Linked DNA regions of Saccharomyces cerevisiae S288C. Changing the gene in region 1 together with any one later gene gives a genetic interaction. Each region holds a gene or a part of one and is shown on either strand. Other genes may lie near its edges. The genes, in order: FAR11, INO2, TOR2 and SND2.

Region 1 (8,798 bases):
ATTTTAATTTCTATCCTTCGTGAATATTCTATCAGGATGAAATTAACGGAAAGACAAGCTATGACAAACGAGAAGTTAAAAGAATGGAAGGCAAGCGAATACGATACCGATTCTGCCGATGAAGATTGGGGTAAATTAAAAGAAAGAAAGACTAAATATGACCTTCTTTTAGGTCCGGGCATTAAAAAATACTTCCTAAGAATGGTATATCCAATGAAGGTCTAGTTCTTTTCGACGACCTGATTCATGTTATATACGCGATAGTTACGTCGCCTACTCATCATATCATTAGTACATAATATTCAATATCTCCGCTTCACCTAATTAAATTTCTTTATTATCAAAAAGACGTAAAGTTAACGCTGAAAAAGCATTCTTTACAGAAAACGACCTTTTTTTAACCTAATATATTTAGCACTGTAAAGATATTCCATGTATCCATATGTAATACACTTTGTGTTGCGGATCCAGGAAAAACAAAACGAAAAAAGAGTCTCTTTACTTGCAAATAAATCTGTAAATCATTTGCTACCATTACAACTTATACATTAAACCTGCGTGGAGGAAATTTATTATAAATGAAAAACGGGACGGGATCATTTCTTAACGGAGCGATTTGCTCAATAAGAAAAGCTCTTCATCGCCATCGTTCTTTAAATCTGCCCTAAAAATATACAGTCTGTCTTTAAAATTTTTATACTGGCTAACAATTTCCTTTAAATTCGTATTAAATTTTCCCAATAATCCGTTAGATGCTTCGTGATCATTGAGATTCATTTTAATGAAGATTTCGTATCCAATGTCGTTCAAATTACAATAAACTTTGACGAACTCGTAAACCGAATTTAAAAGTAAAACCAATGAAGTTGGGTATGGTTGCCCAGAATAATCACCAACGCTTATTTCACTTGTGTTAGTTGCAAAAAGCTTATGAGAAAGAATATTCGTCAAGAACGTGTTATGTACACTTTCTAATTCATCAATATTCAGCGTCTTTTCGATTGCGTGTTTTTGGGGTTTACTGCTTGAAGACTTTGTTAGTACTTCAGCTTTTGGGGTTAAAATCCCATTTAATTCTATGGTGCCATTATTTAATCTAATTAAGTCGAATTGGTTTTGGCTTTTATTCTCTGTGCGTTGCAGTTTCCGGGTCATTTCTTTAAAATTTTCCTCTATAATGCAGTTCAAATAATAAGATTCCATCTTCGAGTTGAATTGCTGGAATTGAGTTCTAAGTATACTGATTCTAGAAAGTTTATTGATAATATCACGGATGAGCGGGTTGTAACCTCTGATTTTCTTGAATGATCTGATTATATCATTACTCTTCAACATTTCCTTTTGATAGAAATAATTGTTCTTTTTAAATCTCCATAAAAAATTGAAAATTCGTAGATACTCTTTCCTGCCAAAAGGACGATTTACGTTTAATACTAAACTCAAAGGGGGGTAGAGGATGTAATCTAAAGTAAAAACATCCCAACCCACGGATCCATGTCCAAGATCGAGTACCCTCGCATCCAATCCATTAATGACAGAACTATTACGGGGACTATTCATTAAATGTCTTAAGGAAGAAAGCTGCACGGCTTCCTGTAAAACCCTTGTTAACTTATAATTTGGCAATGAATCCGATGGTGTCGCGAGAATATCATTGGCCTTTTCTATAAGAGCATCCATAAAATCAGATTTACCCATGAGAAGAATATTCTTTAACGCAAATACCACGTCTCTGTAATGAAACTTCTGATTTAGAATTTGATTAGTATGATTAACAATTTCAGAATATTGATCATTTATAATTTCAAAAAAGTTCGTTGATATTCCCCGATAAGAATTGCTCTGGTACAGGACATGATACTTTTTAGAAAATTCGTTTGTCCATTGAACCTCTTTACAGTACTTTTCTAGGAAGATATACGATTTGCCGATCATGAATATTTTATATGCCAACTCTTTCGGTATGAAGGCCGGAACTCTTTCTTGGTTGAACTCTATAGGAATGTGGTAAATAAAATCATCGTCTGTACCATTTGTATCAGTGTTTTCAGCAATGAAGAATTCTCCATAAGTAGCTCGGAGTAGACCTTTAGTCAACCAATTCATTAAATACTCATAATAAAGAGAAATCATTGAATTAAACAAATTCGTTGCTATTTTTCTTATAGTAAGATCTCCGTGGGATTTGAAAATATTTAATTCAATCAAGAATGTATCTCCGCTCAATTCTTCAAGGTGTTCTGTAAACCTACAGTATATTCGAAGCCTTATTATATTTTCATATATTTCACGATATAACGATTTCAATGACACTACTGTCCCTGAAGAGACCAGATTGTTCACAAATGCTGTGTAGTTTTGTAATTCTTCTGAAATTTCTATAATCAATGCTTTTTTCATTGGAGATATATTCAACATCCTAAACTTCTCCACTTTATAACCCAAACTTTGATATAATAAACCCGCTTCAAATATTAAATGTAAAAGTCCACTCTCAAAATTGGGTATCTTAGACGGAATTTGTATTTGCTCATGATCAAACGGAAATAGTGCCGATGTCGTAGCTAATAATGTATATGATACGTATTTTAGGATATCTTCCTCGGGTATAGTGTTCACATAATAAGGATTTGACAACTGTCTCAAAGTAACAGAACTGTAGGTTGAAGAGGGAACGTAACGATTAGGCGAAGATACCATGGACCTTCTTTCAGAAAATCGGTCCATGTTTTCAAATGAAGCTTCTGTATATATACTTGGAGCCCGCACTGGGCTAAGTAAATGTTCATGGTTAGCAAGGTTCTCCATATTGAGCCCAGATGATTTTTGGACAATTTTTGCTCTGTAATTTGATGGAAGCAAAGATTGAAAGACAGAGAGGTACTTTACCATATCATCGGTGTTCTGGATTCCAAATAAAGCATCGAGAAATTTCTCAATTTTATGCCACATAATTGTTGTTTCAGGCGAATCTAGTGATTGTAATTTGTAAAAATCAATTAAAGGGCCTAATTGAGTTGCCGATTTGGTGGATGATCGCAGTAAATTGACTACATCAGATACAAATGTCTGCAAATGACTCTGCGACAATAATTGAGGAGCCAATGCCTCTATTATACCAAAAAGAGTGGGCTCTAGTTCCATATTGATTTTTCAGCTACAACTGAAATAGACTGTAATATATATTATGGTTATGCTTAGTATTCTGGCTCTTCTATTTCTTATATGCAGATGAAGCCATCAAATGAGTATATTTGTTTGTTTTGTTTAGTTTTGTTTACAAACGCGACGCATCAAAAATCGTTACCCGTATATATTATGATAATAGAAATCCAACAACGGTTGTCCTAGTATCCCACTTGTGATATGAAGATCCAATCATCACCATTGCGCGATCAAATAAACACTATTTAAGGGGTTTTCATGCTCCTCCATTGAAAACTATATAAACATAGGGAGGGATAGGAGATTGTTAATGACAATAACATCGCGCCCCGAGCCTCGGTATCCGTAAGTAGAGATTTAAATATTCAAATACTCGGATTCCTTGTTTAACAGATCTTGGCTGGAACTATTACGGTGTCCATATCCAAGGTCCTCCATAGATATTTCATAGTGTTGAAAATTGTAAAATTGAAGCAAGGCCCGGAGTGCAATTTCTTGACCACAAGCATCGCTCAACTCTCCTGATATATCCTTCCCTGTTACCCAATTATCAGTTAACTCCAGCTTTTCATAAAGGTAAACCCCCGATATCAATTCCATATGCTCGGATTTCCACCTCTTGTTTTTGAATGGTGTGAGTTCTCTTGTTATTTTCAATATTGGATGATACATGTCAAGGTTGAAGAGCCGATAATAGCGTTTAAATAGAATGCCGATGGAGAGGGGCAGCTCCTTTAACCTTTGTGTTTTATTCCCTGTGACTTTTCTCAAGATTCTTAACAGATATGCAAACGAAGGCATAATCTCCGTGTCGACCTCTCCTGAGTCATCTACTGAATAGGATTCACGATAAGACTCGTTAGAGAGAGAACACTCCTTCCAAAATGAATTCGGGGTTTGTACATATTTATTGAAAACCCTCTCTGGATAAACCTCAGAATATTTGCTTAAAATAGATGCGCATGTGTTGATGTATCGCGAATCGTGAATAACTACCGCCAAGTGTTCAAATTTCAAAATATGGCTTAACTTAAACCACTTCAATAACGCATGTAATATGCCCGCTGCTGACTTTAGGGACAATTCCTTAGCTCTCACGATCTCCAATTGGGGTGTCAGCATATTTAGAAGATTTTTATCGGAGACTTCACTTTTCCTATGAAAGTTATTTGTCAAGCTTGATTCCATTGTTTGCAGTAAGACAAAAACAAGAGAGTTAAAGCTCGAAAGGCAGCTCTTATAATATTTGTCAATTCGCTGCATAATGCAAATCGCACTTTTTTCCTCTTTTGAAGAGTTTGCATCATGATTAAGCGCGGCATAATCATATGGCTCATTTTCTAATTGCTGTTTCCAACCACGTTCAGTTATCATGAATAAGTCCCTTTCGTACCAAAGTTGTTTTGTACTCAGCTTAATTTCTAAACTCTCGCTTAATATTCTCGCTGCCTCTTCGGTACTGAATGGAATAACTATATCGTTATCAGGTTTTCTCTCTATATTTAAATCTATCCTATCTTCCAGAGTGTCATCTTCAGATCCTTCATTATCAGATGGATACAAACACGGATATGCCATGTTTGTTTGGAAAGATTTACGAGGTCTAGGACCTTCACCTAAATGCATTAATTGTGGAGAGCTTGGCGGTGAAGGAGCAGGTGTAGCAATATGTTTTTCAGGAACAATGAGCGCCATATTTAGAGGATTCTTTGATTTTGGACGAGGAATTTCCAGAAACTGGGAAAGAGATTCTGATTTGTCAACATCTTTAGGTAAGCCAGAACTGGGCATATTGTAATCAGGAAAACGGGAAGTAATGTCCTCCCTGAATGCTTGATAATGTAATGGGGAGATAGAAAGCTTTTCTGGATGCTTTGATGGATATGTTAAGCCATGGAGATTATAAATAGATGATTTGGTCTGTTTGTAGACAGAACTGTCACCAAATTGTAATACAATAAGCTTGAAGAGCAAAGAAATCATATTTCTTATGCGCATAGCTAATCTGCTATTCCACCTCCAATTTTCAATATACTTTGTTAAAAATTCCAACAAATCTGTTTTCTCAAAAGCGTCGATAACAACATTTACTGCTTCCGGATTTTCTCCTCTACCTTCTATACAAATACTGCATATGAAGTATAGGATTGTTGACGAATGAAATAGCAAAATTGTTTGTTTCTTTAAATTTCTGTTGTCATCCCTACAACTTATTGCAATCTTCTTGAAGGCATGAACAATTTCTTGAATATGAGGAACAAGCATTAAATTGTTGCGTCGTATAATCTTTGTATGCTCACTTTTGCTATTCGTAAACGCAAAGCATCCCATAGAAATATATGATAATGCGAGTAAATTAGATGCTAAAGAATTGGGGATGTCTTCAATTAAACATTCAACTACGCTCGCAGCATAGTTTTCATCATCAAAGAATAATTGTGGTTGCGTAATTTTCTGTTTAAACAGAGTCTGTGTCTGTCCAAAATGCATATAATCAGAGCTGCAAAACCATTCCGACAGTTCATCTTCCAAAGAATAAAACATCTTCAATTCCCAGTCCACTGCTCTTTGTAAAGCATAAGGTGCACTTGATCTTTCCTCAAGTGAAGCTGCGCACTGGTCAAGTGATTTCTGAAATTCTTTATCTACCGGCATATTATAATCAACTTCGCCCTTTTCATTGATAGGAACATGCTTGCCATCAGAAACCTTATTCAAATCAAAGCCATCCAGTTCATCTACATTAGCAAATGATTCATCCTCATTCTCCTCTTCAGCTTCTTCAGCATCGTCTTGAAATTCAACGGCGTTATCAGTATTATTATCTTTCTCATTATTTCTATCCTTATTAACGCCATCATCACTGAACTTAAAATTATCATTTTCATCACTACTATCTTGCTGTATATCTATGGTACGAATATCTCCCTCAAGACCTGATCTTGCCTTGAAGGTTAAGGCACTGATATTTCCATCTGATTTATTTCTTTTATCGGCATGAAAACTGTTTCTTCCCATGTTCAGTTTACCGCGCAACATGTTGTCCAAATCTTTTAGCAGTTCTTCGTTGCTCAATGTTCCGACCTGTGGTTCTTTATGTGAAGTGACTTCATCTTTGTACTTTAGATTGCCTTTGAAACTAGAGTTTCTCTTAAGATCTTCTAAAGACACAGACCTTATAATGGGGCCTTTGGAATGAGATCTTCCACTAGCATTCATTTTAGCGAGGCTTATAAATGAAAATTTGTCACTTAACCTTCTTCTTCGGCTATAAATACTAATAAAATTTCTCTACAATGCCTTTCAACCTACTCCTTGGTTCTCATATATTTCTTCCTGTTTCTAGAATGGCGTTTTGATTCATATAATTGACCGCTCCAAAAAATACCTGCCAGTAAATTAAAGTACCATACAAGAATATTGAAGAAAAGGAAAAGAATACATAATATAGAAAAAAGCCTACCAAAACAAACCAATTCACAATAAATATAACACTTTTAACTAAGTTTAACGAATGAATGGATTTGACGAAATGCATAAACCTATATAATTTCCCATTCCAATTTCAGTGCCTGAAATAATTTCAAGCCGTGAGTGCTGAGCTCCCCAAAACCGTCCAGCTCTTGCCAGCTTATGGTTGTCCCAAGCATTTCGTCTCTCTTTAACCTCTCTACTTGAAAGTAATCTGGCGAAGAATCGTCTTTAATTATGTGCATCAAAGTCTCAAGGTATATATTCAGCCAACAGCTGGCGCATGAAGTCCAAGATATTATGCTACTGGCGGCTTTGGACTTGCTGGTCCCCAGGGTAAATTCTATACGACAATCATTTTCCAGTGTTAAGTAGTCCCTACCAAAAATGAAGGTCATATTACCACCGCATTCATGCGCCATGATATCTGAATATACTACTTTTCGGGTTAGGAGGGCATTTCTATCATCGTTGTAGTGTTGAATCTTAGTAGTTACAATAGCAGACTCGGAAGTGATTAAGCTTGATGGGCGGAGGAACGTCATTTTAGCAAGCCTGAATTTAAATTTGAATTTTACCGCCTCATTAGAAATTCCTTCTTGGGCTGCTTTTTCATGGGTAATAAAAAACTCATGGTACCTTAAGTATCTTAATTGAGAGGGTATGGTGACGCCATTCGTCATACCATACTTGAATCTAGCCTGCATGAATATCAATCTTGCTTCTCCAAGAGGACACTGCAAGTATTTCATGAGGTATGCTACTGTTATCATACCAGATCGGCCTTTCCCCATTCGACAATGTAAAACAGCCACTCTATTCTTCGAAACGGACAGGTAATTTTCTATACCATCTACAATCTCTTCCAGCAGTTCAAATGGCGGTGGAAAATGATCTAGCCAACCGATCCTTTCACAAATTACATTATTGGTTTCTTCTTCGACCAAGGTCCTTGTTTCGAGATCAATGGGTGATATTGGTATCTTTCCATCATTAATCAGCGTCGAACGTAATTCTTGAATTTCAAAATCTTTGCTCTCAAACTTGGCAGCGATACCAATAAGATCATTATCTTTATAATCGCTGTCTTCTTTCTCACCTCTAAAATTAAAAATTCTAAAATTTCCCTTGCCATGGTACACTGTTAGAAACAATATTAAGTCATCCAAGCTATTCCTATAAAGCAGTTTTGGATACGTGTTTACCGGGTATGAGCAGACTATTAGATTAACTAAAATATATGATATATCTAATCTCAAACCTATATCGTTTTTAGTTTTTTTCATTGGTAAAGACAATATTTTCTTCATCAAGTTGACTGGTTTCCATTTAAGGAAGCCTTTTTCCATTTCTAATTCACTCCCCTCCTCTCTCATTTACACCAAAAAAATAATTTCAAAAATCGGGATGGTGTTATCAATATTGTGGTTCTGAAATTGTCTTATTTAAGTTATCTATCGAGGTACACATTCTTATTTTTATTGTTTTTACTTTTTTTTTTTTATACTTCTCATCGATTTTGTGGCGCTTTCCTAATCCTTACAAAGCTTTAGAATCTCTTGGCACACCCAGCTTAAAGGTTTCGCAATTGGAGTGTCATCATCATTTATGAACTCTTTTATATTCTTTGACTTCCTTGGGTCTAGTAAACCTTCTACGTCTCCATTAACAAATAACTGCGCATGATTTGCACGATAAGATTCATACACAAATTCGTCGAAATAATACGGCGGATCCACCCAGAAAGAATCCAAAGTCTGGTATCCTTTTCTGGAAGCCCTCCTTTTTTTTAGTACTTCATAGGGAGCACGCACTAATATCTTCAAATCAAATTTTTTTGATATTCCAGTATTATTGAAAATCATAAACCCATCTACAATTACAACTTCATATTTGTCGTCATTAATAGAGTCATACTTAGCCTTTAACTCGTCCCAAACTTGTCTATCAATGTGGAACTTTGTAAAGGGATCATCTACGTTGTTATTGTGTATAAGTTTGGTGGCTATTTTACCAGTTTGTTTGATCACATCTAATTCTTTACCGAAAAGTTTAAAATCAAGAGCTTCTGGCGAATCCCAATTTTGAATGTTATATTTAGCATCTACTGGCACTTCATTATCATGTTTGTAAAAGTCATCTTCATGAATTAATGTAGCCTT
Region 2 (6,808 bases), on another chromosome or scaffold:
CATGCGAAAATTCGGAATCAACAACAGCGACAGAGCCACGAAAATATAGAAAAGCTTTCTGAAATACCGGAAAGTGTGAAGCAAAGGGACGTAGAGGTCAATACAACCGCTATGAAATCAGAGCCAGAAGCCACGTTGGCGACAAAAGATACCTCTGTGCCATTCACTCCAAAGAATAGCGATGGCACAGAGCCCCCCTTACATGTCTTAATTCCACCGAGGTTAGCAATGCCAGAACAAGCGCATACGTCACCAACGAGTAGAAAAAGTTCTGATAATCAACGCCGTGAAATGGAATATGCTCTCTCTCCAACTCCTCAGGGAAATGACTATCAACAATTTAGGGTACCTTCAACTACTGGCGATCCCTCAGAAAAGGCGAAGTTTGGGAATATATTTAGAAAATTATCACAGCGCCGTAAAAAGACCATTGAACAGACATCTGTTAATAGTAATAATAGTATCAATAAACCTGTGCAAAAGACGCATTCTCGCGCTGTTTCAGACTTTGTCCCTGGTTTTGCTAAACCGAGTTATGATTCAAATTATACCATGAATGAGCCTGTCAAGACAAACGATAGCAGAGGTGGCAATAAAGGTGACTTTCCAGCATTGCCTGCGGATGCAGAAAATATGGTAGAGAAGCAAAGGGAGAAGCAAATTGAAGAAGATATAATGAAATTGCATGATATTAATAAACAGAATAATGAAGTTGCAAAAGGAAGCGGGCGGGAAGCTTACGCTGCACAGAAGTTTGAAGGAAGCGACGACGACGAGAATCATCCCTTACCACCTCTCAATGTTGCAAAAGGTCGAAAACTACATCCAAGCGCAAGAGCTAAATCAGTTGGTCATGCTCGTCGTGAATCACTCAAATATATGAGACCCCCAATGCCTTCATCTGCCTATCCTCAGCAAGAGCTTATAGATACTGGGTTCTTAGAATCAAGTGACGATAACAAATCCGATAGTTTGGGAAATGTTACTTCACAGACGAATGATAGCGTCAGCGTGCATTCTGTGAACGCACACATAAACTCGCCATCTGTGGAGAAGGAATTAACAGATGAAGAGATATTGCAGGAAGCTTCTAGAGCTCCAGCCGGTTCTATGCCATCCATCGATTTCCCCCGTTCTTTATTTTTGAAGGGTTTCTTTTCTGTTCAGACAACTTCATCGAAGCCTTTGCCAATTGTTAGATACAAGATTATGTTTGTTCTGAGGAAAATGAATATAGAGTTCAAGGAGGTTAAGGGTGGTTTTGTTTGTATGCAAAGGTTCTCTTCCAATAATGTGGCAGCGAAGAGAGAAGGGACTCCAAGATCGATCATGCCACTTTCGCACCACGAATCCATTAGACGTCAAGGCTCTAATAAATACTCACCTTCTTCTCCTTTGACAACTAATTCCATTCACCAGAGAAAAACATCTATTACCGAAACCTATGGAGATGATAAGCATTCGGGAACATCTTTGGAGAACATCCACCAACAAGGTGACGGTAGCGAAGGCATGACTACAACAGAAAAAGAGCCCATCAAATTCGAAATTCATATCGTCAAGGTTCGTATTGTTGGTTTAGCCGGTGTGCATTTTAAGAAAATTTCTGGGAACACTTGGTTGTATAAAGAGCTGGCTTCTAGTATATTAAAAGAACTAAAGTTGTAAGTAACACGTTCCCTGAGAAACCACAGCTTACATTTTTGATATTCGAAAACAAGAATATCCGTTCGATAGAAATTTATATATATATATAGATTCTTTTTATTCTCTTTTGGAAAGAAGAAATAGAATGGACCTAAGCAGACACTCAGCAGTTAATATTTTCGTCCCTTAATTGGTATTATTTATAAATAAATGGCACGTACTTTATGTGTAAAGCAGTTCATCATCGATTGATGGAGAGAATTTGTATACGTAGAGCGATCATTGCACCGTTTACCAGGACAGGATTCATATGGATGTAATAGGACTATTACTTCACTGAATCAATACAACTCGTAACGGTCATATAACTGCGAGTTTGTACGCAGTTATTCTGTTTGTGAAGACAGATTATACTTCGCCGTTGAAAGATTTCTTTACTTCACCATCATTGCCTCCGGATTCTCTTAACTTCTAAATAAAATGAAGATACTGGTAATTCTTGTCCGCAAAAATCTACGCTACACTCTGGAAAGAAACGAGATTTTCTACCGTCTGGTTTATAATGAATATATTTACATGACCAGCTTTGCAATCATATGATATTTTCGCCCATGTATACGAAATTAACTAAAAATACATCCAACGGGAGGCCATTTTCATCACTAATAGCTTGTATGAGCTCAGGAATCATCCAGTATGTGCTGTAGTGCTTCATTTGCGCTTCTAATGGACTTGATATCGTTCATTACACAAGTTAAAAGAATATGCTTGGGAATTCTTTTCCCGTTTTCCTTCGGTGGGGTCCTTACTGATTTAATGAGCCTTTCAAAGGCTTCTTTGGTGTTTATTCTTCGTATCTTCTCCATTTGAACGTGTTTCCATTTCCGTACCTTCACAGGGTCGTCCTCGATATTGGCTGGAATATCAGAGTCTGGGATTCGTATCTCAGGTACTGAAAACGGTGGCGGGTTGTAGTGGTCATTGCCGATAGGCTGATGAGGTCCTTCCCTCGTGGTGAACTCAGTTGGCACATCTGCTGTGTTTGTGGGTAACTCCCCTGTGTTACTGTGTGGATGTGTTTCAGGATATCTTTGATTTAATTCGGTATACCTATGCTGCTTTTTTGGTGATCTTATATGTAGATGTGATTCGGAGTTCATGGAAGCGTTGGAAGACATCATATCCTGTGATATTAGATTGTCTAAAAACTGTTCAATGGCATTCGATTCATTCGTGCTCAACAACCCCGAACTGGAAGGAGACAACTTGAGACCAAGCGCTTGATCAAAACCCATGCTTGGTTGATGAGGGTTGTGATTTAGATAGTGTGCATGAGTATGCAAAGGAGCATGATGAGTTTGGTTATCGGCAGGTATAGTTTCTACGTGAGAGGGTTGCACGGTTGCTACGTTAGGAATTATGCCGAGCTCGTGTGTTAACAGAGGAGGGGAAGTTGCACTAAACGTGTTTTCATGTATGTGCGCAGACATTTGGTCGTCGAAGTTACTGCTGAGCATTTGGTAAGCAGTTTCAAAGTCTATATCGTTATCCAGATCTAGGATACCCAGTAATTCGTTCCCAGTTGCTTGTTGCATTTTCTCCTTTGCTGTTCCATGTATTTATTTATTGCACGTCAACGAGATGGAACCGAACCAATTTCGAATTGCTTATGACGCCAAATACTGATTACAATAAGATATGATGAGATGAGCCTTTAATCACTGAAAAAAATTCACATGTGTGTTGTACTTGGACAGGTGTCAACGCCCTGCCGATGACGGAGGGAGATAGAAAACCGGCGAATTTTTTACCTCCTGCTGAAAAAAGGTTAGGTTGGTTCCATCTGCCGCACTATGGAGGGTGATTCAACGGAAAAGGCGCAGGAAGTGCAGTAGTGACCGGCAAGCAGCATGTTGAAAGACATTGTTGGGAAATCCTGTTTGAGTCCTGGTGTGTCTTCATTCTCCTACCATTTGTAGCTGGCGTAGATTTGGTTTGAGTGTGGTTGGTTAATTCATATTAAGCGTTGAGATTATAATAATAGAAATAATGGAAGAGGCACTCGATCCATATTATCAAGGATTCAAAGTAACTCAGATCTGCAGTAAAGGAGAGATGCGACTGAGAACAAATTCCTTTGCAATGGCATCGGCAATGGCACAATATGGAACTTTTTCTTGTACTGTTGAAAAACAGCACGCTGCAGTTGCATCAGGGTTGTTTTAAGTTGTTGTAGTAATCTCGCGACCTGAGACATCCTTGAAGCGGTGCCTGCGAAGTCTTAGTGAAGAGTTTAAGATTAGAAGTATATAGCATCGAAGGGATGGCCCAACTGAAGCAGGTTCCTCTGCTTGTTTCTCAGCTTATATAAAGGATGGATTGCGTATGTATACATGTGCATTTGTGCGTACGTCATTTTTCGATAGAGTCAGCTTAAGTACATGCGTATAGGTATGGAAGAGCTTAGAAGGGCGCTGGCGCTGCTAAATGGTCAAGGATATGAGTTTATGGTGTTCATAAAGGAAAAAGACCATTTAATAAGTGAGTCAATTCCAAAAAACTTGTTCTCAGAGAGTTTTATATCATCTTCAATTGAAAAAAACCCTCCACTCACGTTCGATCCATTGGTAAATAGGAAAAGAATAACTGTTTATGAAGAAAATATCCAACCAGCGATCATGCTACCCTTAGATCAACCCCTACTAATACAGAATTATCTGTATACGGCTTTTAAATTATTAAGACAGGTCCCATGCAAGGCGATTGCTAAGTTGTGGATAAAAATTATTGAGCCAAGGAAGAAAACCAGGTTTCCATACATTAAAGGCAATGCTGGAAGGCCGGAATGGTGGCCAAAAGATGTAGAACATAAAGAGCCGGACCACCTCCAGAAAGCGGATCGACTGAAATTGATGTGCACGATAATTATGAATGTTCTACCGCAATCTCCCTTCAGCCTTGAGATTTTGGACGAGCTTACAGGAGTGACCGCCGCAATGACCATTTTTAAGAAAGAAACTGTGAAGAAAGTAATCATGAAAAATGTTTTCGAAATTGCGAAATGCTTGTGCAACAAAGATTTCAAGCAGAAGACCATATCACTTGATGATTTAAATGACCTAGCCCAAAAACAGAAAAAATCATACCATAGTCGTCGATTTGATGTAAATAAAATGGTTAAGGTAGAAAAAGATTTGTTACAACAGTCAAGTGGAAGCGATTCTTCACCCTCGATGATCCTTCCTTCAAAAGAAAGTGACACAGAGTATTTCCCCAGGGAATATCCGAAAGACCCTGTATCGGAGGATTATTCGAATAGCATATCTCGATTAGAAAATTTAGTGGAATTTGATCCGTTATTCCTCACTAAATTGGATGAATTAACTAGTAGCGATGATTGTAAAGATTTTATTTGAGAAAAATTTCAAAGCAAAGAAAAGAGGTGTGAGGAGCGCAAAAGCAAAAAGGGGGATAGCATACATTAACACATTTTTTGGCTCTTTGCTACTTGATTTGGTTGCTATCAAGGCGATTTAGTTTCGTCTGATAAGAAGGACACTATAGATTGGTTGAATGATTCTGGGTTATCTAAAAAAAGATTGTGACCGGAAGAAGGTATTTCTAAATAACTTGCTCCTTCTAGACAGTTCTTTAAATTGTTCAACTCTTTGACCATGAACATACCGGCTTTTTTATTCATCCAATCATATTGCCCATATACTATCAATAATTTCTTAACATTTAAATATTGCAGAGAATCCATCAAGGGGTCCTTTGCTAGGATACATCTTGAAAATAACGCTTTGAAAATATCTGTCGTAACCTCCGGTATACCTCCCTTACCGTAAAACAGTTCAAATATGTACTCTTTGTATGCCAACGATGGGACTCGGCTATATGCCGCCATTATGTAATTCCAACATAACTTAGCTCCTAATGGTCCCATCATTCTCAAAATGTGAAATTGTTGTTCAAATAAGTATTTTGGAATCATATTTCTTTTGGAGTAAAACTTGGAATTTGGATTTTTAAAATCGATAGTATAAAGAGTGTTGGAGTGGAAATTATTATTTACAGACCAGATATTCCTTTCCACTCCTAGTGGGGATACCAAGCAAAGTTTGTTTACCGAGTTTGGATATTTAACAGCATATTTAAAAGATAAATATCCGCCAAAAGAATGCCCCACAACATTCATTTTGCCCAATTTGTTATCAATGCGCCATTGCTCGATTCTGTCGAGATAGAAATCTTCGTACATTTGAATCACAAATTTATTGTGATTTGCATTTATTGTATATGGAACCTTAAATTTATTTTCTCCAATAAATTTGATATCTAACGGCAGAGGTGTTGTTGTATTGATCTCTAAAGACGGTACTGAAGACAATCCGCTCGCTGGCATGTCAATTGAGTATAAATTTCGGATGTGCTTGGACAGACCTGGATAATTTCTGAAAAAAGACATTGAAGATGCGGCATAGCCATGTATCAGCAATGTTGGTGTTCGAACAGTACTTGTGTTTTCATTTTGGAAATGCCATTGATTTATTTCGTTGAATAACTTATCATTCTTTTTAATACCTTCAACGTGTACCTCTTCCATAATACGTCTCTGTAATTCCTCCAGCCGCATATAAGTTTTGTGTGGGTTATTCAAATGGCTTGACCATAGCTTGAATCCAGATTTTTTGACAGCATTTTCCTCCTTGGGTCTAAGAATCCTTTCCAAAATTTTTCTCTGGAGACTCTTTTCACGACGTTTAACTTCCAGTAGGCTTCTATTACTGTGGAACGCTCTCTTCCACATGTAACATTTATATACATTCATTATCTGCCTCCTTAAACTTTCAGGGTCCATCAAGTACCTCTTTATTAAAAGCATTTTTCATTCGCTCATCCTTAAACTGGAAAGGCATAAGGAAACTGTCAGAATATATAAATAGAGGTGTAAAACATGTGAAGCTCTGTGGAGTTCTAAGCTGGAATCGAAACAGTTGTCTCAATTTTAGTAATGTCCAAGGGCTTTCCAGGAGGTCAGTATATTCAAAGCCAAAATAATTAATGTTTTGGTCTGAATTTTTATTTTTCAAAAATGAGGTGAAAACCTCCAACGAAACTTTTTAATTAAAACCATCCGATACAGAATTTTAAATCATCT
Region 3 (11,406 bases), on another chromosome or scaffold:
TAAAAAGAATATAAAATGAGATGCGTAACGAGCGAGTACTTGACAGGAAACGACAAAAACACAGTGAACATACTATCTAAAAGCATGTTCTTTTCCTTTTCATTTTTCATCTTTATTATCTAGAGTTTGTATATAACATGTATCCTATATTATCTTATCCTATCATCATCACTTAACTTGTTATAATTCTCCCATATACTTATGTTTTCGCCTTTGATATTTACTAGTCGAAGGAACTTTTTTCGCAGTTAGTAACGTCACGCTCGGAACTAAACATTAATGAATGAGATGCATTTTTATACAACACTTTTACAGGCTATATACAACTAAGTGATTTTCAATACATTAAAACTACCAGAATGGACACCAACCGATATAATGTTGGCATAGGTTTTCCACTGATGTGGCTTGTTGGATTAGTTTATCCACTTGTTCTGGAACGTCCAAGTCATTAAACCTTCTTATATCGTTCCCCGTTAATTTGTCAGTAATGCGCTTCAATACCAACATGGCCCTTGCATTTCGAATGGCATTCTTGTGCTCGTTTTCCACCCTTTGAACTTCTTCTTCGGTAATAGCCCCATTACTCAATAGCTCATTGGCATTCATCACGGGAAGTTGAATGCCCGTTTCTTCCTCAATTTTCTTTGTTGGTAAGTCAAAACCCCAATTGATCAAAGGATCGAAAGCAAAAGCTTCAAGGATTGCCATTAATGAACCCTTGTTATCTCTAAGTACCTTCATAACATTCTCACAAGTAATACGGAAGCTACCTTCAATTCCACTCACTTCCATTGCATATGTTAACATTCTAGTTAATCTAAAAGGTACTTTTTCGGGGAATTTTTCTCTTAATATAGCAGCCTCGAAACAATCACCAAAATCAATATGAATGACTTTCCCAGTGATTCTATCCAACATCAAATTACTAGGGTGGCGGTCACCTAACCCCAATATATAACCGGTCATGGACATCACGGCTAGCGATCGAGTGTAAGTAGTTCTACGCTCCAACCACGTTTCCGATGACCTACTCTTCAGCCATAACACCTTATAAAGATCTTGTCCCTCCGTATTATTTAGGGCGTAAGTGAAGACTTCTACTTTCTGCAACAACGTTAAATTGTCATAATCAGGTGCCATTTGTAACATGACCCAATGCTCAATGTTTAAAGGAATTTTTTTGGCTTCTCTATGCTCCCTAATTAATACATGGAACGTGTCACTATTCGGTACCCAACCCAGTAACCCAGACTTCGGAGATAATGGGATTGCTGGATATTGCTGGATATCTAGATGCCTTCTAAAGCACTCAGCGTCATTTTGCAAAAGCGTGTTAACTAGTCCGAATAATTGCATGACCAAGCTATCCTGTCTAATGTCTTCATGTCCTTTCAACACATACTTATAATCTTTACCATCACTACCCTTGATACAAAACTTTCTCGGTCTTTGTTTGGATGAGATTACTGAAAATACTGGCTCGAATTTAGATATTTTAACAATTGGTTTTCCACCACTTGCACGGGTCCCGGGGACAGCCAATTCCAAATCATGCGCAGATAGTAGTTTTGGCGACACATGTTGTAGTTCAAGAGTTTGTAATTGTGGCAACTGTTTACCAATTTTCCTGAAAACATTATAGTAAATGTCCCACGCTTGGTTTAAATTACTAACATCTTTAGATTTTTTGTAATTCATCAGCCATTCGTAAGCGTCATTCAAGTCCCTACCAAAAGAATTTTGGAACGATATTTCCCTCAAAGTTTCCGGTCCTCTCTTCAGCATTTCGTACAGAGGCTCTAAAGCAGCAAACATTTTTTCGGTATTATGTTCTCCAAAAAACTGCCTACTGGCGTCATCCAGACCCTCATACCATTGCTCATGCCAAAGCACCGCCATACGTATCAATTCGTGGCTGACAAGTTCAGCCTGGTCGACCAAAACTGGACTATGTATTCTCATCTTTTCTATGATGGACAAAGCTGCTTTCTGTCGTGAGAGAGATTCGGATTTAATCGCAACCATTAAGGGGTACACTAATGCCTGCGGATGAGCCTTACCTAGATCAGATAATAGGGAGAGTAATGACCTACTAACAATTTGATTGGGTTGATGAATTCTAGAAATTAACTGTGGCAACACTTCTAACCATGTGCCTATTTGGATTAGGTTGAAACCCTCGTGCATAGCTTGGGTTGCTTCTGGAATACCACCAAAAGTAAACCATAAAGTTAATAACCTTAATGCATCTTGAAGAGAGCTTGATTCTGATAAAGAAATGGAATGAAAAAAACCCTTAATTGCTGGAATTACGTGCCTGTGTATTAAATTAGAAGAGTAATGAACTTCCTTAGCATCAAATGTATTGACGCCGATCATGCCATTATCAAACTCATTAATATCAGTTACCGAGGAAGCATCACTTCCTTCCTGTTTCTTTTTAGAGACAGATGTTAGCATAGAAATGACTTCAAAATTGGCCAGTGCCCAGTTATGCCACGCTTTGTACCATGTGTTGTCAAAATGTGTAGCGAGCAAATAGGAGCCTAGGATCGAATCTGGATTGCTCAATCTCCATTTAGGCTGTAAGCAAACTCTCCATTCTCCTTGCTTCAAGAAACAACGAGCTAAAAGCTTAGTATAATCTTCAACGTGACGAGGGACTCTTTTGCTTTGTTGAGGAACGCTTTGAGCTATCATATTATTTGGATCCAAACCTAAATCATGAGCCATTCTAGATGTGAAATTAATTAATTGCTTCAAAGCCTCATCTTGCAACCCCGTAGCCCACAAGTACTTCAGTTGTGCATAAACAACTGGAGGGGATGCCTTAGCAGTATTAGGATGATCTGGGTCATCTGTTTCTTCAAGCAATGTATTTAAGACTTTTTTAGCTAGCGCCATCCTACCCGATTTTCTGCATAAGTTGGCAAACTTAATCCTCACTTGAGCATCCTCCTTTGGCTTTATCACCAATGATCTGACACGCAGAATTCTTTGCCACACATCAATATTTTTTTGACAGCCCAGTAATCTGGTATTCCAAGTTTCTCTCATAGTTAGACGTTTATCTGAATTTTGTGGCAACTTCTTATATTTGATGATTTCCTCCAACTCTGCTATAATCTGCGCTCTAACAACAACATTATATGCTCTATTGTAGCTTTCATTAACAAGAGCTGACAATTCAGTAACTAGAAGATCCCTTGCATTAAAGATGTGAACTTCCGCCTTCTTAAAATTATTCCTATGCAAACATAAAATTGCATCATAGAATTCTTTATCTGGAGACTGCGATTTCATGACGCTAGTATACTGGGCTATTTCATCCCATTGCTCCAAACCCCAGGCAGCGCCGGCAGCCAAAGGCGCCATTGCCTTCTTCACTTCGGGTTTTGCCGTGCCCCACTTTTCAGATGCCAATTTAGAAAGCTCTTCCCACTCTCCAAGGGCATATAACGATCTTAATTTTCCCATCATCACTTCAACCGAATCTTCTCCTGCTGCCTCCTTCTCATTATATGCTGCAAGAGCATCCTCCCAACGTTGAAGTTTTTCATACCAAGTTTCCTTCAGCTGCAATTCATTGTGTTGTTGCGCATGCTTCAAAATACCAATAGCAGAATCAGTTTGGTGAAGTTGATTATTAATGCTAATCAATGCCTCGATTGTTGAATTTTTCGGCTCTTCTAAGAATTCTACCTCTTTGTAATGTAGTGCCTTCGCAAAAGCATGACATTTTTGGGCATACTTACCTAATGTATGGATTGGGATAGGCAATGGTTTGTCATCGTGCTCCATAAATTCCACTAAATTTAACAACATTTGATAAATCTCGGGTGGGTTTTCAGAGGATGATAAAGCCTTGCATAATGCTTGAATCAAATCCTCTTGGTATGACGTTTGAAGCTCAACCCAGCAACTTGAGAATGAAGCATTAAACAATTCTCTCGCCAACGGATAATAAACGCTGACTAAACTCGAACAGGATCGTAGACAAGCTGAAGGTGATTCCTTTAGAAGCTGAATAGATAGCCTTCTTATCCATTCTTGCCAATCTTCTTTGGTCTTCTGTTGAGAACAATACCATGCATTCTTTAGGATATTTTGGTTTACCGGTAATTTCGTTACTTGCATTTCGTCTTCATAATTTTTCCTTTCAGGTACTTCGTTCTCCTTGTCAAATATGATATTTGTTGGCAAGCATTCATTGTTCAGTAATTTATTAACCAGTTGATCGTACACTGAATGCTGAATCCTATTCCTCAATAACGCCTTGTTAATCACTGGCACAAAGACCACAAAGTCGGTACCTAGTTGTAAAAGGAGCAAACTTAGCGTATTCATGGTTGCTTTTGTTAGTTCTCTATCCCCATTATTCAAAATTCTTACCAACGCCTGAACAATTCTTGATGACATTTCAGAGAGGTTGATATTCTTTGCTAATCTACCCAAAGTTATAATGGAGATTTTCTTTAGACTTCCAGCAGAATACTCAGTCATTCTAACAACGATAGGCATAATCAAATGGGAATAGTCTTCTAGATTCGGCCCAAAAGTAACCAAAGATTTTAATATACGAATCGGAACGATCCTTTTATTAGACTGGTCGTTCTCAAGAATATCAAGGAAAAAGGTTAGAGTCTCGGGAACAAATCTTTTAAACTCACCTTCCAGAGCCTTAGATATCGATTCTATGACAGAAATAATTGTGATTTGTAGTTTAATGATCGGGAAAAACTCCCTGATCACACCATAAATTTTCTCGACATGGGGCCTAATATGTTGCTTGACAATTGAGATGAGAGATCCCAGTTGCTGAAAATAAAAGTCAAGTTGGGACGGCGGGCATGAACGCATGACTAAAATGATACCTGGAATAATTTGATCCAAAAAGGAGACACATCGTAAACCAAGGTTTTGAAAAATATGCATAATAGCTTGAATAGCAGCCGTGTGATGGATTGACAACGATGGATCATTCAATATCTTCATCAGATTGTGGATAACTACAGTGGGGTAATATTCATCGTTGGATGGAGATACCCCTTGCATTAGCAATGCGATGTCGATTGAAGGAGCATTTTGCTCTACTGAACTCTTTGAGTTTGATGTGACTTCTATTTCTCTGTGCTTATATGGATCAAGAGCGCCTAATATACCAATCAAACGAACAGTTCCACGCCTGATATGAGGGTTGTTTTCAGTCTTAAGAATATTTATCAAAATGCCAAGTAACTCTGGGTAGTCTAGTAAAGGGCCAACAACATAACCAGAGGAAGCAGCCAGCTGTCCTAATGTTGTTAAGGCGGCATCTCTTTTAAAAGAGTTTGATTGGTCCTGAAATGTGTTAATGATCAATGGCATCAATTCCTTTAAGTAACGCGTCATTTCTTTTCCTCCAACAACAGATAGTTCACCCAAAACCTTTAAAGCGGTGGATGCTACGGCAGATGAAGCATCCTGGCATTTAGGAAGAATGACGTCTAGAATAGGATCAATATAAGGTTTCGCTACTTCATCGCTGGAATTTATCAGCGTACATAATAGAGTTGCACTTTCCTCCTTTTTTTTTGGCATATTTGAGAACTTCAATTGCGTTAATAGTTCCAGTAAAGTTTTCCTCAAAGAAGGAACTACATAAGCGGGGTTGACAGAACTCAATCTGCCTATTATTTTGATAGCTTCCAATTGAATACCAAAAATCTCATCGTTCAGCGCCATGAAAAGTAGGCGTAAATTGTCTGGTTGGGCCAATTGAGGATCAAAATTTGACCCCAAATGCTGAAGAATTTCCAATCTAATTTCTGCAACCGGATCAGTTATTGCGATCATTAATAGCTTACTTAGCACTTCAGAAACCGAGTGTAAAGCATGAACTGATGTTTGTTTACATATATCGTCTTTGATAAATAAATCACACGACGTTAATGCTGCCAATTTTCTGACAGACGAATCCTCATGCTCAATGTAAGAAATGGTTATAAGCCTAACAAACTCCGTCAAGGAATATTGATGATGAATTAGTTGCAGCATTTTAAAACACTGAATCAAAATTTGGGCATCTGTAATATCGTCATTAGATTCACCAGTTTTTTTCATGAAACTTTGGTTTCTTGATTTACGAGCCTTTTCAATGGAAAATTGATTATTAAAATCGTATTGGTTTGATTGAATAAATTTTTCACCAGATAAGGATATCGACAGTAAATTTAGTATCCTCGAATTAACGGTAGATTCCAAAGAGGGTATTTTCTCGTTAAGGATCATTAAAGTCTCCTGCATATGGTCGGACATTGGACAGTTTAACATCAAATTAAGAAGATCTTTGTTCAAGTGCTTAGCAAAAGCTGGGCCCAAAGCACAAGCTAATTTACCAATGCAATAAAATAAATCCTTCTCGAATTGTTTTCTAACTTTGAATTTCGTTCTTAAGCCTTCCCTAATATTATCCAGAATAAGTGTCATATAGGGTGAAATGCTCGAACCAACTTCAAATGCAATATCACCTATAGAAACTAATATAAAAGGTTTATCCGAATTATTTGCAGCATTCATATCGATGTTCTTCAAATATCTTAAATAATGAACCATTATCCTATCGAGATATTTCTTTGTGAAAATGGCAGGGTCAAAAGCAGCTAAAAGAGGTAAAATAGCATAAACTTCTCTCCTTATAACATCAAATTTATATTCCTTGTACTTCATAGTAGATTTGTAAATATCATCATATTTATCCCTGAGATAAGGTGCTTTCAAGCTGAGTAATTCTCGAAATACCAACAGAGTAGCATGCACTGAATCATTCGTATTGAGACTTAAGCCATGTGTACAACCTTGAAATAATCTTTGAAACCACTGTTTTCCCAAAGCAGGGTCTCTATCCTGAATAATAGTAAGACATTTACCCAATGCCACTGCGGCATCTAATCGTATAATTAACTTTGCATCCCTTAATGGCACCCAAATATTGTCTAAGATAGAGTTAACGTAAGGGTATAAAAGATAGGGTGAATTGTCTGCTAATGCCTTTATGATTAATAGCGCAGCATGTCTCCTGTATTCCAACTTAGAGCTCGATGAGTTATTATCTGCTGTCAGAGTAAGCCAATCAATGCAAGTTCTGACCTCAAATTCGACGAAATCTGATGTTAATGTACCACCTGGCACGGTCAATCTACCTAAGGTGTTAGCCGCTAATCTCATAACTTCAATGTCACTGGATGGAATTAAAACACGTAAATAGTTCGCCAGTCTTGAAGTTTGGTTTGGCAGCTCCTCTGTACTCAGGTAGAATGAGATCAGAGTATCAACAGCAAGAATACCACCTATCTTCTCACTTGAAGTAAACCCGTGAATAAGTTCAAATATCTTATTGTTTAAACTGTTGCTAAACCTTTGAAATTGCTCAGCAGATACTTCCCTTGCTAATGAGGTCAAAGTAGTGCTTAATTCATTAGCGCCAGAGGCTCGTTCTTGTGGCACATCGCTTTTAAGTTTATCAAAAATCAAATTTAAAGTAGAAAATGTTGTATCTAGTTCTGAATCTACAAAGGATATTTTACCAATATGACCAGCAGAACCAGTGATCACTCTACCAGAGTCATTGGGCCCATTGTGATTGGAATCTGTGTTTGAAGTAGTTGACATCTCATCATCGTGGGAGTGCGATTTGTGTGTAAGTTTCTTTCTTGTTCTGTGTTTGCCTTCGGCCCTTTGTCGTAAAGACAATAAGTTAGGTGGCGTGGTGTATTTGTTAATGTATTTATTCATTTTTCATATGGGGAAAGTAAAGATCAGAAATCTCTTTGAGAAAGATAACTATTTGATCTTAATGACTATGCTCTTTATGCACCCGGTATATTTTCCCTTTCTACTGCTCCTAATCTACCTGTAAATAAATACAAGTAAAGCTCAGTTAAGGAAGTGATTGGTGTCACGATGATAAAAATTGGTCTTTCCTACTGTCATTACATTTCTTCCAATTTTAATTGCTGCCATATATGTCAGTCTCTATTCAAACATATTCAGTGCTTAAAAAGGAATATCCGGGTAAATATTCTGACATCGCCCAAGAAATATACGATATAACTTAAAGAAAAGAGTTGTAGTAAGCTAATAGCATTAAGATTAAATGTATGTTTGATTAATTGCAATATCATGATGTTATAGAGTAACGTGGTATAATTACCACGATTCCGTCGAATTGTTTGCCACTTATCACTGGCGCCAAAATGCAGCAGTATGTAAAAAATGACGGTAATAAATATATAATACAAATGCATAGAGGAAAGGCTATAGAAATGAAGAGATTCATGAATTTTCAGTCAGGTTCTCCGACTTTTAATTGCTGTGCCCCTCCTCCTGCTTCTTTTTTTCCTCTTCTTCGTTCTTCTTCTTTTCTTCCTCTTCCTGCTTCTTCTTTTCTTCATCTTCATTCTTCTTGTTTTTCTCTTCCTGCTTCTTTTTTTCCTCTTCTTCGTTCTTCTTCTTTTCTTCATCTTCATTCTTCTTATTTTCTTCATCTTCATTCTTCATCTTTTCTCCTTCTTCCTGCTTCTTCTTCTCTTCTTCTTCCTTCTTCTTTTTCTCCTCTTCCTCCTGCTTCTTCTTTTCTTCTTCTTCCTTCTTTTTCTTCTCTTCTTCTTCCTTCTTTTTCTTCTCTTCCTCTTCCTTCTTTTTCTTTTCTTCTTCTTCCTTCTTCTTCTTTTCCTCTTCTTCCTTCTTCTTCTTCTCCTCTTCCTCCTTCTTCTTCTTCTCCCTCCGCTTTCTTTCTTCAAGTAACTTGGCATAAGCATAGTCCTCGTATACAATAATAGGGTCCTTATCAAACATTTGAATACCCTTTCTGTTAACGTCGGATAAAGTTGGCGCAAAAAGGTCTAAACCATATGAATTTAAATCCAAAAAGGAGTTGCTACTAAAGTTTAAATTTGATTTAAAATCCACAGGATTTACTTCAACAGTATTAGCAGGAGTATAATCTTCTGTGTTATCATCTAGAGTTGTTCCAGTTTCATCAAAAGTAATGTTGAAAAGTGAAAAATTCCTGTATTTCAAACTTTCGGACAGATCAATAATTTTTCCGACATATTCTTCATGAACAATCTTGGTAACTTGATCTAATGTAGTCTGGTTCATAGATTTTGATAAATCCTTCCACATAGCTTTTTCATAACCAAAAAGAAATGGGTCCTTTGCAGGGGAGCTTAACTTAGGAGCAACATTAATGCGCAATTGATGTAATAATTTCTTTTTTTCAATAAATGTCAGGTTTTGGCAGTATTGAATTTCCAATTCCTTTTGCCTATATGCAGTGACATTGAAGGAATTGTACAAGTTAGTAAATACCTCGATAAAGCCAGCTTTTGGAATATTTTTATAAATTAAGCGAACATCATCCATGGATAGGTTTTTGAAAGAGTATTCAGAGACTTTGTTGGAATCAAAAAGTTTCGACTCAAATTTCGTAGACGATATTTCTTTCAAGAGGTTCGGATTCCATGAATTAATACTGGGGATGTTTGGATACCATGAATTAATATTACTGCATTTCTTTAACCCGTCATAGTCGAACCAAAATCTAAATTCGGGCAAATAAGCAGTATTTTTGTAAGCATCAAATGCATATCTATCAGGTACATGATATTCATTGTGCAAGCAGTAGGTATGTCTGTGAGGAATCAACGCTGGCACACCATGGAAAACAGTATTGATTAAGGGAGATAGTTCCTCGAACGAGTTAAAATGGTTGTTTCTACAATTGTAAAGTTTAAGTTTTTCGTTGAGAAAATATCTTTGTTTAGGATTCAACTTGTTTTCAATGGTCTTAGACTTTGGTAACTCTTCCAGTTCCTTTTTCAAAAGATCTTTCAAATCAGTATCAGTGGGGACTCTTTTATGATTTTTATTTTCGTCGCTGGTAATGTAATCACGTAGCTCAGTGATGTTTAGTGTAGCCATATTGACTAACCCATCATCTACTTTGTCGGGCAAAGTAGCGGTCTCACCGTTCGATTCAGGGATATTATTGATATCCAAATGTTCCTCTTGCAACCGCTCTTCAATATAAGAATTCAAGTAATCCCTACTAGGGGCAGAAGTGCTAGCTAGACCGGTAATATCAATGTAAAGGCCGGTGTCGACGTCAATGAATCTTGCATCGATATTGTTTTTACCGTTACCGTTAATTCTTACTGTCAAGGAGTCGCTGACGTCTAGGAAATAACGTCCATTACCCTGTCTTGGGTCTTCCAATATAAGAGATTGGTTGAAGTATTGACTGAGCAATTGTAAATGCTTAATGGGCATTTGCAAGTCGAAATCGTTATCCCAAGGGAAAGCCATTCCATTGTAAAGATAGCCGTACAGCGTTCCGTGAGACAACCAAGATATGATGCCGTTGGCTTTAGTAAACTTTTGGAATGTTCTGATCATTGAGTTCAATCTAGCCTGGTATTCTTGTTTATCATTGATTAATGTATCAACATTGAAGAACCTCTTGTCACGATGGAACCCCATACCTTTATATTGCTTCACGGCACCAGCCTCATAGAAGAACTTTCTTTGCAATGCAGGGCTTGTCTTTACGGAATTCTTCAAACTGTTCAGATAATTCTCATTATGAGCGGAAAATTTGTCCGGATAGAGTTTCTTCTGTTCCTCTAACTCTTCAATTTTTTTGGAGGCATCGAACTTGAAATCCGAAGGGGATAAATAAACCAAATCTTTATCAAAAGTGAATTTATCAGTTTCTTCAATTTCCAGTTTGTATAGGGAGTTAACTTGGTCGTTATTGACGAATTCCTGGAAAAGCCTGTTATGGTTGAATTCTACGTCCTGTTTATTTTTCTTTCTCTTGTTCGTAGAATTAATGTTATCATTAATATATTCCTGCAACAGGCCGGATTGCACCAAGTTTTTTGATTTTTCAGTTTGCAAGGGGACTTGATACGTGGAATTATCTGATTCGATGATGGAAATGGATAGTGGATGCGACTGTGTAGTCAAAATGTAGTTTCTTGCCTGCAATTGGTAAACTTCGGGTCTAACTTTATCATACAGCTCCTTTATTTGAAATTGCGTATTAAATCTTAAACCCTTAGGAGAGCCATGCCCGTCTGGAGTGAATAGCTTGGAACAATGCTTTTTTAGTTCCTTTGAGTCTTTGATTCTGTCCTGGTTTCTAGCGGCCTTGTACCACAGTTTCTGCGCGTACTTTGGTCTTTCGTATAGGAACAAAGGTTCGCCGAGCTCTGTCTCAATGGCCTCTAAAGACTCTTTGTCGAAAGCGGACTGGAAAAGAAAATTGCAGGGCAGAACAGTTTTATCTATGGAAATCAGCTTATTCAGCTCGTGGAAGGTTGTCCAGTCGTACCATGAAAAGGGTAACTTTTCTGGCTG
Region 4 (6,562 bases), on another chromosome or scaffold:
ATTTTTTTTTTTTTTTTTTTTTTTTTTCTCTTTCTGAATTAGAGTACATCTCATCGCAGGGTCTCTTTTTGCACGTTTTTGATGTTGCTTATGAGACGCTTTGCCTTTTTAACTTCTTCAGTATATTTTAAATATATACCAATTTATTCACAATATCATTACTCTTCTCAGTTTCCAATTAACATGAATCCTAAAAAAGTGGCCCAATTGCCCGTTCACAATAAATCAACGCTTCCACCACAGGAAATAATCGATCTTTTTAAAATAACATTCTTAGAAGAGCTATATCCAAAAGATCAAGACAATGAAAAGTCACCGTTAACTGAACAAATACAGGCGGTAAAATCTGACCTTTATAACAGAGATTACAATGCTGCTTTCAATAACGACTCGAAAAGAATAGCATATTGTTGTCGTTGGTCACCGTCCAGAGCAACAAGTTACGCATCAGTATTTGCACATTTCCCTGAGCTTCTAAAGATTATCAGATGCGAAATTGATGACAAGGACTCAAATGTGCTCTGCATAGGTGGCGGCGCTGGTGGTGAGCTGGTTGCATTAGCGAGCATATTCACTTTATCGAGAGATTTTTCGTCTAAATTTGCCTCTGCTTTGAAAATAGACAACGAAGTAAACAAAAAGCCTAGAAATTTAAACATACAACTAGTAGATATCGCCGACTGGTCCACAGTTGTTGAAAAGCTAACAGCTACAATAAAGTCGAAATGGCTATATGGTGATTCAGAAGCAGAGTCATTTAACGTCAACTTTACCCACAAGGACTGCCTACAAATGACAGAGCCACAAGATATCAAGATATATCAAGGCCTCGACCTAATAACTCTACTTTTTACTACAAATGAACTATTTACACAGAAAAAAGTGGAGAGTATAAAATTTCTGCAACGGTTAAACGAGAACTGTGCCCCAGGCTGCCATCTTCTCATACTAGAGAGTGCAGGAAGCTATTCTCACATTACCATCAACAACAAGAAGTTCCCAATCCAATTTCTTATCGATACTATCTTAGTAGGCAATAGAAAGGACAAGGGAACGACAGGTCCATGGTCACTAGTATCCGAGAACGACAGTATTTGGTATAGAATGGACCCAAAACTCGACTACTCGATTCCATTGGAAAACATGCGATTCTTTTACCGTCTTTATGTCAAGAACTAACAGGCTTTATGACGTTTTACTGTTCTCTTTTCATTGTTCTTTTCTCGAAGAGTTTAGAAAAATTTTTTTTCTTCTCATCCACACCGAAAAAATATTAATAAGAGAGTTGAAAATTCGATTTGGAATCAGAAATAAAGAAGGGGCCACGATCAAACAAGACTCATTTCGAATAATTGTAAAAAAAAATTAGCACAAAACAATATGACCGTTCCCAGGAATCGTCCCATGGCACCATTTGGCACCATTATCAAATCAAGAATAAAACAACCCCAGTTTTATTGGTTTATAGGCCATTTTTTAACCATCTTTAACTTTATACAATTTCATCTTTCAATCACGTCCAAACAAAACCAATTGTCATGCTATAGAAGATCATTATTTTACATATCCGTTACATATGCCATCGTTCTTTACCAGTTTTTCAAAAGTGACCAGTTAAAGTTCAATTTTACGCTTTTGCGCCAAGAGATGAAGAAATTGGATAATTTGCAGTATTTTGCCATGCTATTCATACTTTTTCTCTTATCACAGTTTAACATCATAATCAGCGGCTCGTTATACAGTCCCGTTATCTTTTCAATCTTTCACTTCCTGAACTATTTTAAGGAAAACCTTTTGCCATTTTTGCCTTTGATACCACTTAATTTGAAAAATTTGTTGAACTCCAAAATAACGGTATTCATCCAAAACTACAATGGATTTTTCTTACAGATGGCGCAAGTATTTGAGATTATCTGCGGCCTACGTGTGGGCCTCTTCTTAGTGCCCTTCAATTTTTTCTTGTTGTTGGTAAGAAGAGCAAACGTGTCGTTTGAGGTAGTGGGTACAATGTTGGCAGGACTAACCTATGTATGGTTTTTCAAATTAAGGTACCTACAAAGTGAATCTATGAGGCAGATATTTAAACAATATGTCCTTAGGTTGGATGCATATGTCAGCCGTACTTTGCCCCCATATTGTTCCCGTTTATGGAACGGCTATAAGAATTTCGTTATGACAGTGTTTTGGAAGATACCTGTGTAGCATGCTCATTTTAAGTATATCTAAATATTATTTTGTATATACTCACACTCCTCTATAGAAAGCAAAAAATTTCAAAAACGTTTGAAAAGCTTTGTTTAACGATACTTGTACTTAATTTTAGAGTCAGTTTCACCCCTCCTCTCCCTTTTCATCTGCCTTTTGGATTTGGATTGTCCCTCATTAGCATTTTTTGAGCGATTATCTGCCTGAGTTTGTTGAGCGCCAGGCATGAACATGTTTTTGAGGCCATATAACTTGTAACCAGCATAGATGGGGCACAATAGTAGACACCACCAAAATTTGAATGTCCTGAAAGCTATAATACCAATGTTACCAAAAAGTGATAGATATATCAAATCAAAAAAATATGATATCAAATTTGTATTGTCGTTCAAGTCTATACCTTGTTTTACTACGCGATTGCCATCATATTTGGGCTTACCGGATAGCACAATGATATACAGAGCAACGAACATAGGAACGTTCAAAGCCACCAGCTTAATCCATTGGCCAATTGTAACCTTACGTGAAATGAATAGACGTACGATAGCCATTCCTAAAAACAAAGAGACTTGCTTGTATAAGCCCTGAATTATTTTTGCATTTGAACTAGCCTGTTTCCTCCCTGCTTTGCCAGCCATTCTACCAACACAAACTTAGACCACTGCCTTTGGTGTCTTCTTGAAGCCACACGTGAATACTACCTTTTTTTCATCTATTATCTTTTTTTAATTACGTTGAAATTTTTCATTTCAAAGGCGCAGAACGAAGGTCGACTAATTTCATGACAGTCGGTAGACGTGGAGAAAAAAGTTGATTGTTAAGCCTATTAAGTTCCACTGAGACAAAGACCCACAAAGCTAGCTAGCATTGCCGCACTTCTCCAGAACAATGTTCTCCTTTGTCCAAAGATTCCAGAATGTATCGAACCAGGCCTTTTCAATGGGAATTGTAATGGTTGTATTCATCATGGCATCCTCATACTATCAATTAATCAATAATAACGCGTTCTCAGTACCTAGTAATATCGATAACGTCAAAACTTTAATAAATGTTAGAACAAGTAGATATTTTGGCTCACAGAGAGGCAAGGCAAAGGAAAATATGAAAATTAAATTTGATCTAAATACAGATCTCACTCCCCTATTCAATTGGAATACAAAGCAAGTTTTTGTCTATCTAACTGCTGAGTATAACAGTACTGAAAAAATAACAAGTGAGGTAACATTTTGGGATAAGATCATAAAAAGCAAGGATGATGCTGTGATTGATGTGAACGATCTAAGATCCAAGTATTCTATCTGGGATATTGAAGATGGAAAATTCGAAGGCAAGGATTTGGTTTTCAAGTTACACTGGAATGTTCAACCATGGGTAGGTTTGCTAACTTACGGTGAAACTGTAGGCAACTATACACTGACCGTGGAAAATAAAAACAAAGTTTAGACTAGTCTTTGCTCTCTCAATTTTTGTTAATTATTTACATGATTTTTTGATATATATGCAGTTGATTATACAATATGATATATGCATTTCTAGAATTTACTCACAGGTAATACTCTCTTAGATTTCCTCAGTTCTTTAAAATATGAAAGATGTCTCATTTCAATCTGTTCCCATTTATTGATCTTGCTTCTTGGCATTAATAAGTAATCTTTCATAAAATACTTGTAATTTGATATGAAGTCACGTACCTGATCTTCTAAAGTTTTTAAATCATCAATACCGTCCAAATATGTGTCTAACTGCCTCATTATACTGTTATATGTATCGCTTTTTAAGTATAGTCTGGGCTGAAATTTATTGGGCTCTTTTTCCTTCATTTTTAATGTTGGCCAAGATTTATCACTGGACTGCGTCTTATCCTCGGATAGTTTCGTTAATAGTCTAAATTTATGGATCAAATTATACCCATGAATTAGTGTGTCATCAACGATTTTCATACCATACGAAAGGGTTCTTGGATCCTTAAATAACGCTTCTACAGCGCTGTTCCACGATATATTATCTAAAATAAAACCTTTTTCTCGCAATTTCTTCCACAGTAATGGCAGCTCATCGATTTTATTCATTGCAATCAACTGACTTACTTTATAAGGGAACAATCCGCTGAATATGCTTCTTAGTTTAATATTTGGCGTTGTAGATGATGGCAAGTTTTCAATGTTTTCAATACGATCCATGTATTTAGCGAAAAGTGTTTCGAAATCTTTCCATTGTTCAATTTGAGCTAGTAATACCAACAATGATCTCATCATCACAAATTTATTATTATTTGATATCCAATCATGCTTTTTGAAGAAAAGCTCATTGTACCGGTTGTATAACTCTAAAGCCCGCTGTGGGCTATCATGTTTCACAATCATTCTCATTGGCCATGCCATGACCGAGGGATGCAGTTTGTTATACGTAACGTCGAGAGTTCCATTGGCAGCATTTTCCATGATGTCTTCTACCATATTAATCGTTTCCTTGATTTCCTCATTATTTTGTAGGCTTTTTTTGGCAACGGCCTTCAATATATAATATAAAATTTTGGAATTCGCTGGTACCTTATTCTGTGACATTGTCTTGTACAAGTTAATTATACCGTCACGATAACCCTCTTTGTCATATGCCTCCATTATTATTTCAAAATGTGTAGCGTCCACCTTGATTACAGAATGTTTTATTAGTTGATCTATGATGCTCAATGCCGTTTCGCAATCTTCGTTCAGTGTAACTAAAAATTTTATCATCATCTTGTAAAATTCACTGTTTACAGCCAGTTTTGAGGTTGTGATCTTGTCGAAAAGTTCTTCACACTTGTTGGCATTTCGTAAACCAATATAAGCTTTGATGGCTTTGTTATACACTGAAATTAGACCATCTCTCCAAGATAAATTCTTTGAATGTTTTTCAAATAATGCTATTGCCTCTGTTGGCCTGTTACTCTCAATATATACATCCATCAATGCAGAGATACTTTTTCCAGTGTGTTGGATATTATAATGTTCAGTCATAAGGTTGAATAATTCTTGAGCGATTAAATGGTTCGTAGTTTTGCAACACATTTGTATCAATAAAGCAAAGTGCCCCTCCGTGATTTCCACGCTAGGATCCTCGCTTAGTCTTTTTAATATCCTAAACGCACCATCAAGGTCATTTAAACCACGATACACTTTAAGCATTATGGTATGCGTTGCTGTTGAAGGCGTTATGTCGTATTTCTTGAATAGTTCGAAGTGGCTAAAACAGGCTGCGAAATCTCCGACTTTATAATGTGCATATAGTAAAGATTGTAAAACAGCGTATGTCGGTATCATACCTCTCCTCAATAACTGTGTATATAGTTTATTGACACTATCCAATTCACCAATTCTGGCCATAGTATACATCAAAATACCATAATGTTGTATGGAAGGTAGCTTACCGATACCGAAAAGAGCATTGAACTGTTGTTGTAAGGCGTCCCAATTATGCAGCCTAGAATGAGCCACCAAAAGATAATCAAATTGGTTTTGGTCGTGCTGAGCATCAGGGTATTTCCAATATGTTGACGAAACCAAATTAAACTTCTGCATGTGACAATACGTCTTTAGAATACACGTCAGGTCAGAACTCACTATCGGCAGGTTATGTTCGCACTTGTAATTCCAAACTGCTTCTGCAGAAGAAAATTTCCTAATATAAGTTAATAAGAACAACAACGTAGTTGCAAATTGAGACGCTATTGCGGGCCCTTGCGTTAGCTGAATTGCTTTCAAATAAGATAAATAATCGGGGCGAACATTTGATTGCCTCATGAATGATAAAAAGTTTCTCAAAACTATCTTGTTCTCCATATAATTCGTAAATTCACAATGTCCATTCACTAGTTTCATCCATTTGACCCATTTATATACAGCTTCTTCATGCATATTCATTATAACCATCCTAGAGAAAATCGAGTTAATGAGGTCTATCACCATTGTCTTTTGTGTTAATAGAAACCGTTGTATGATATCAGAGATTGCCTGATCTAATTGAATACCTCTTTGTAAAATCAATAAAGAGAGAAGGAACTTTTTCAATTCAGGTAATGAGGCATCCTGTTTTAACAATCTTTGTGAACCAATAGTGGTATAAAGAAACTTCTGTGCAATTTTTATAACGTTCCCATAGGCCTGGTGCCGATAAAGATACTTTATAAGGTACTGTCGTTCAAATGTTGTGGTAGCTGAATTACTTGTTATTGATGTTGTTGCTTTCTTTGTTAATCCACTGCCAACCGACTTTAGAGGAACACTTCCGCGCGCCATAAAATATGAGACCAGGTTTCTCTCATCCTGTGAGCATAATGGTGACGTCGATTTATCTCGAAGCAGCTTCCTTATATGAT

The links.
Region 2: mutations in FAR11 (region 1) and INO2 together harm fitness more than expected from each alone (negative genetic interaction), as found in Saccharomyces cerevisiae (2 studies listed by BioGRID).
Region 3: mutations in FAR11 (region 1) and TOR2 together harm fitness less than expected from each alone (positive genetic interaction), as found in Saccharomyces cerevisiae (3 studies listed by BioGRID, with this or other methods).
Region 4: mutations in FAR11 (region 1) and SND2 together harm fitness more than expected from each alone (negative genetic interaction), as found in Saccharomyces cerevisiae (2 studies listed by BioGRID).

The regions. Positions count from the first base shown.
Region 1 is NC_001146.8:381,573-390,370, reverse strand, and holds FAR11 (Far11p), read right to left. Parts: upstream 6,385-8,798; coding exon 3,523-6,384; downstream 1-3,522. Other genes in the region: ESBP6 (Esbp6p), read left to right, coding at 1-225; SPC98 (Spc98p), read right to left, coding at 604-3,144; TEP1 (putative phosphatidylinositol-3,4,5-trisphosphate 3-phosphatase), read right to left, coding at 6,708-8,012; NRK1 (ribosylnicotinamide kinase), read right to left, coding at 8,169-8,798. UniProt on the Saccharomyces cerevisiae protein: Participates in the control of the reentry into the cell cycle following pheromone treatment.
Region 2 is NC_001136.10:696,227-703,034, forward strand, and holds INO2 (Ino2p), read right to left. Parts: upstream 3,243-6,808; coding exon 2,328-3,242; downstream 1-2,327. Other genes in the region: serine/threonine protein kinase KIN1, read left to right, coding at 1-1,668; YDR124W (uncharacterized protein), read left to right, coding at 4,089-5,063; ECM18 (alpha/beta hydrolase family protein), read right to left, coding at 5,171-6,532. UniProt on the Saccharomyces cerevisiae protein: Positive regulatory factor required for depression of the coregulated phospholipid biosynthetic enzymes. Also involved in the expression of ITR1.
Region 3 is NC_001143.9:55,584-66,989, forward strand, and holds TOR2 (phosphatidylinositol kinase-related protein kinase TOR2), read right to left. Parts: upstream 7,777-11,406; coding exon 352-7,776; downstream 1-351. Other genes in the region: EAP1 (Eap1p), read left to right, coding at 1-19; MNN4 (Mnn4p), read right to left, coding at 8,347-11,406. UniProt on the Saccharomyces cerevisiae protein: Phosphatidylinositol 3-kinase homolog, component of both TORC1 and TORC2. TORC1 regulates multiple cellular processes to control cell growth in response to environmental signals. Nutrient limitation and environmental stress signals cause inactivation of TORC1.
Region 4 is NC_001144.5:264,076-270,637, forward strand, and holds SND2 (Snd2p), read right to left. Parts: upstream 2,844-6,562; coding exon 2,298-2,843; downstream 1-2,297. Other genes in the region: BMT6 (25S rRNA (uracil2843-N3)-methyltransferase), read left to right, coding at 82-1,179; PER33 (Per33p), read left to right, coding at 1,381-2,202; signal peptidase complex subunit SPC3, read left to right, coding at 3,094-3,648; PET309 (Pet309p), read right to left, coding at 3,738-6,562. UniProt on the Saccharomyces cerevisiae protein: Functions in the SND pathway, a SRP (signal recognition particle) and GET (guided entry of tail-anchored proteins) independent pathway for targeting a broad range of substrate proteins to the endoplasmic reticulum.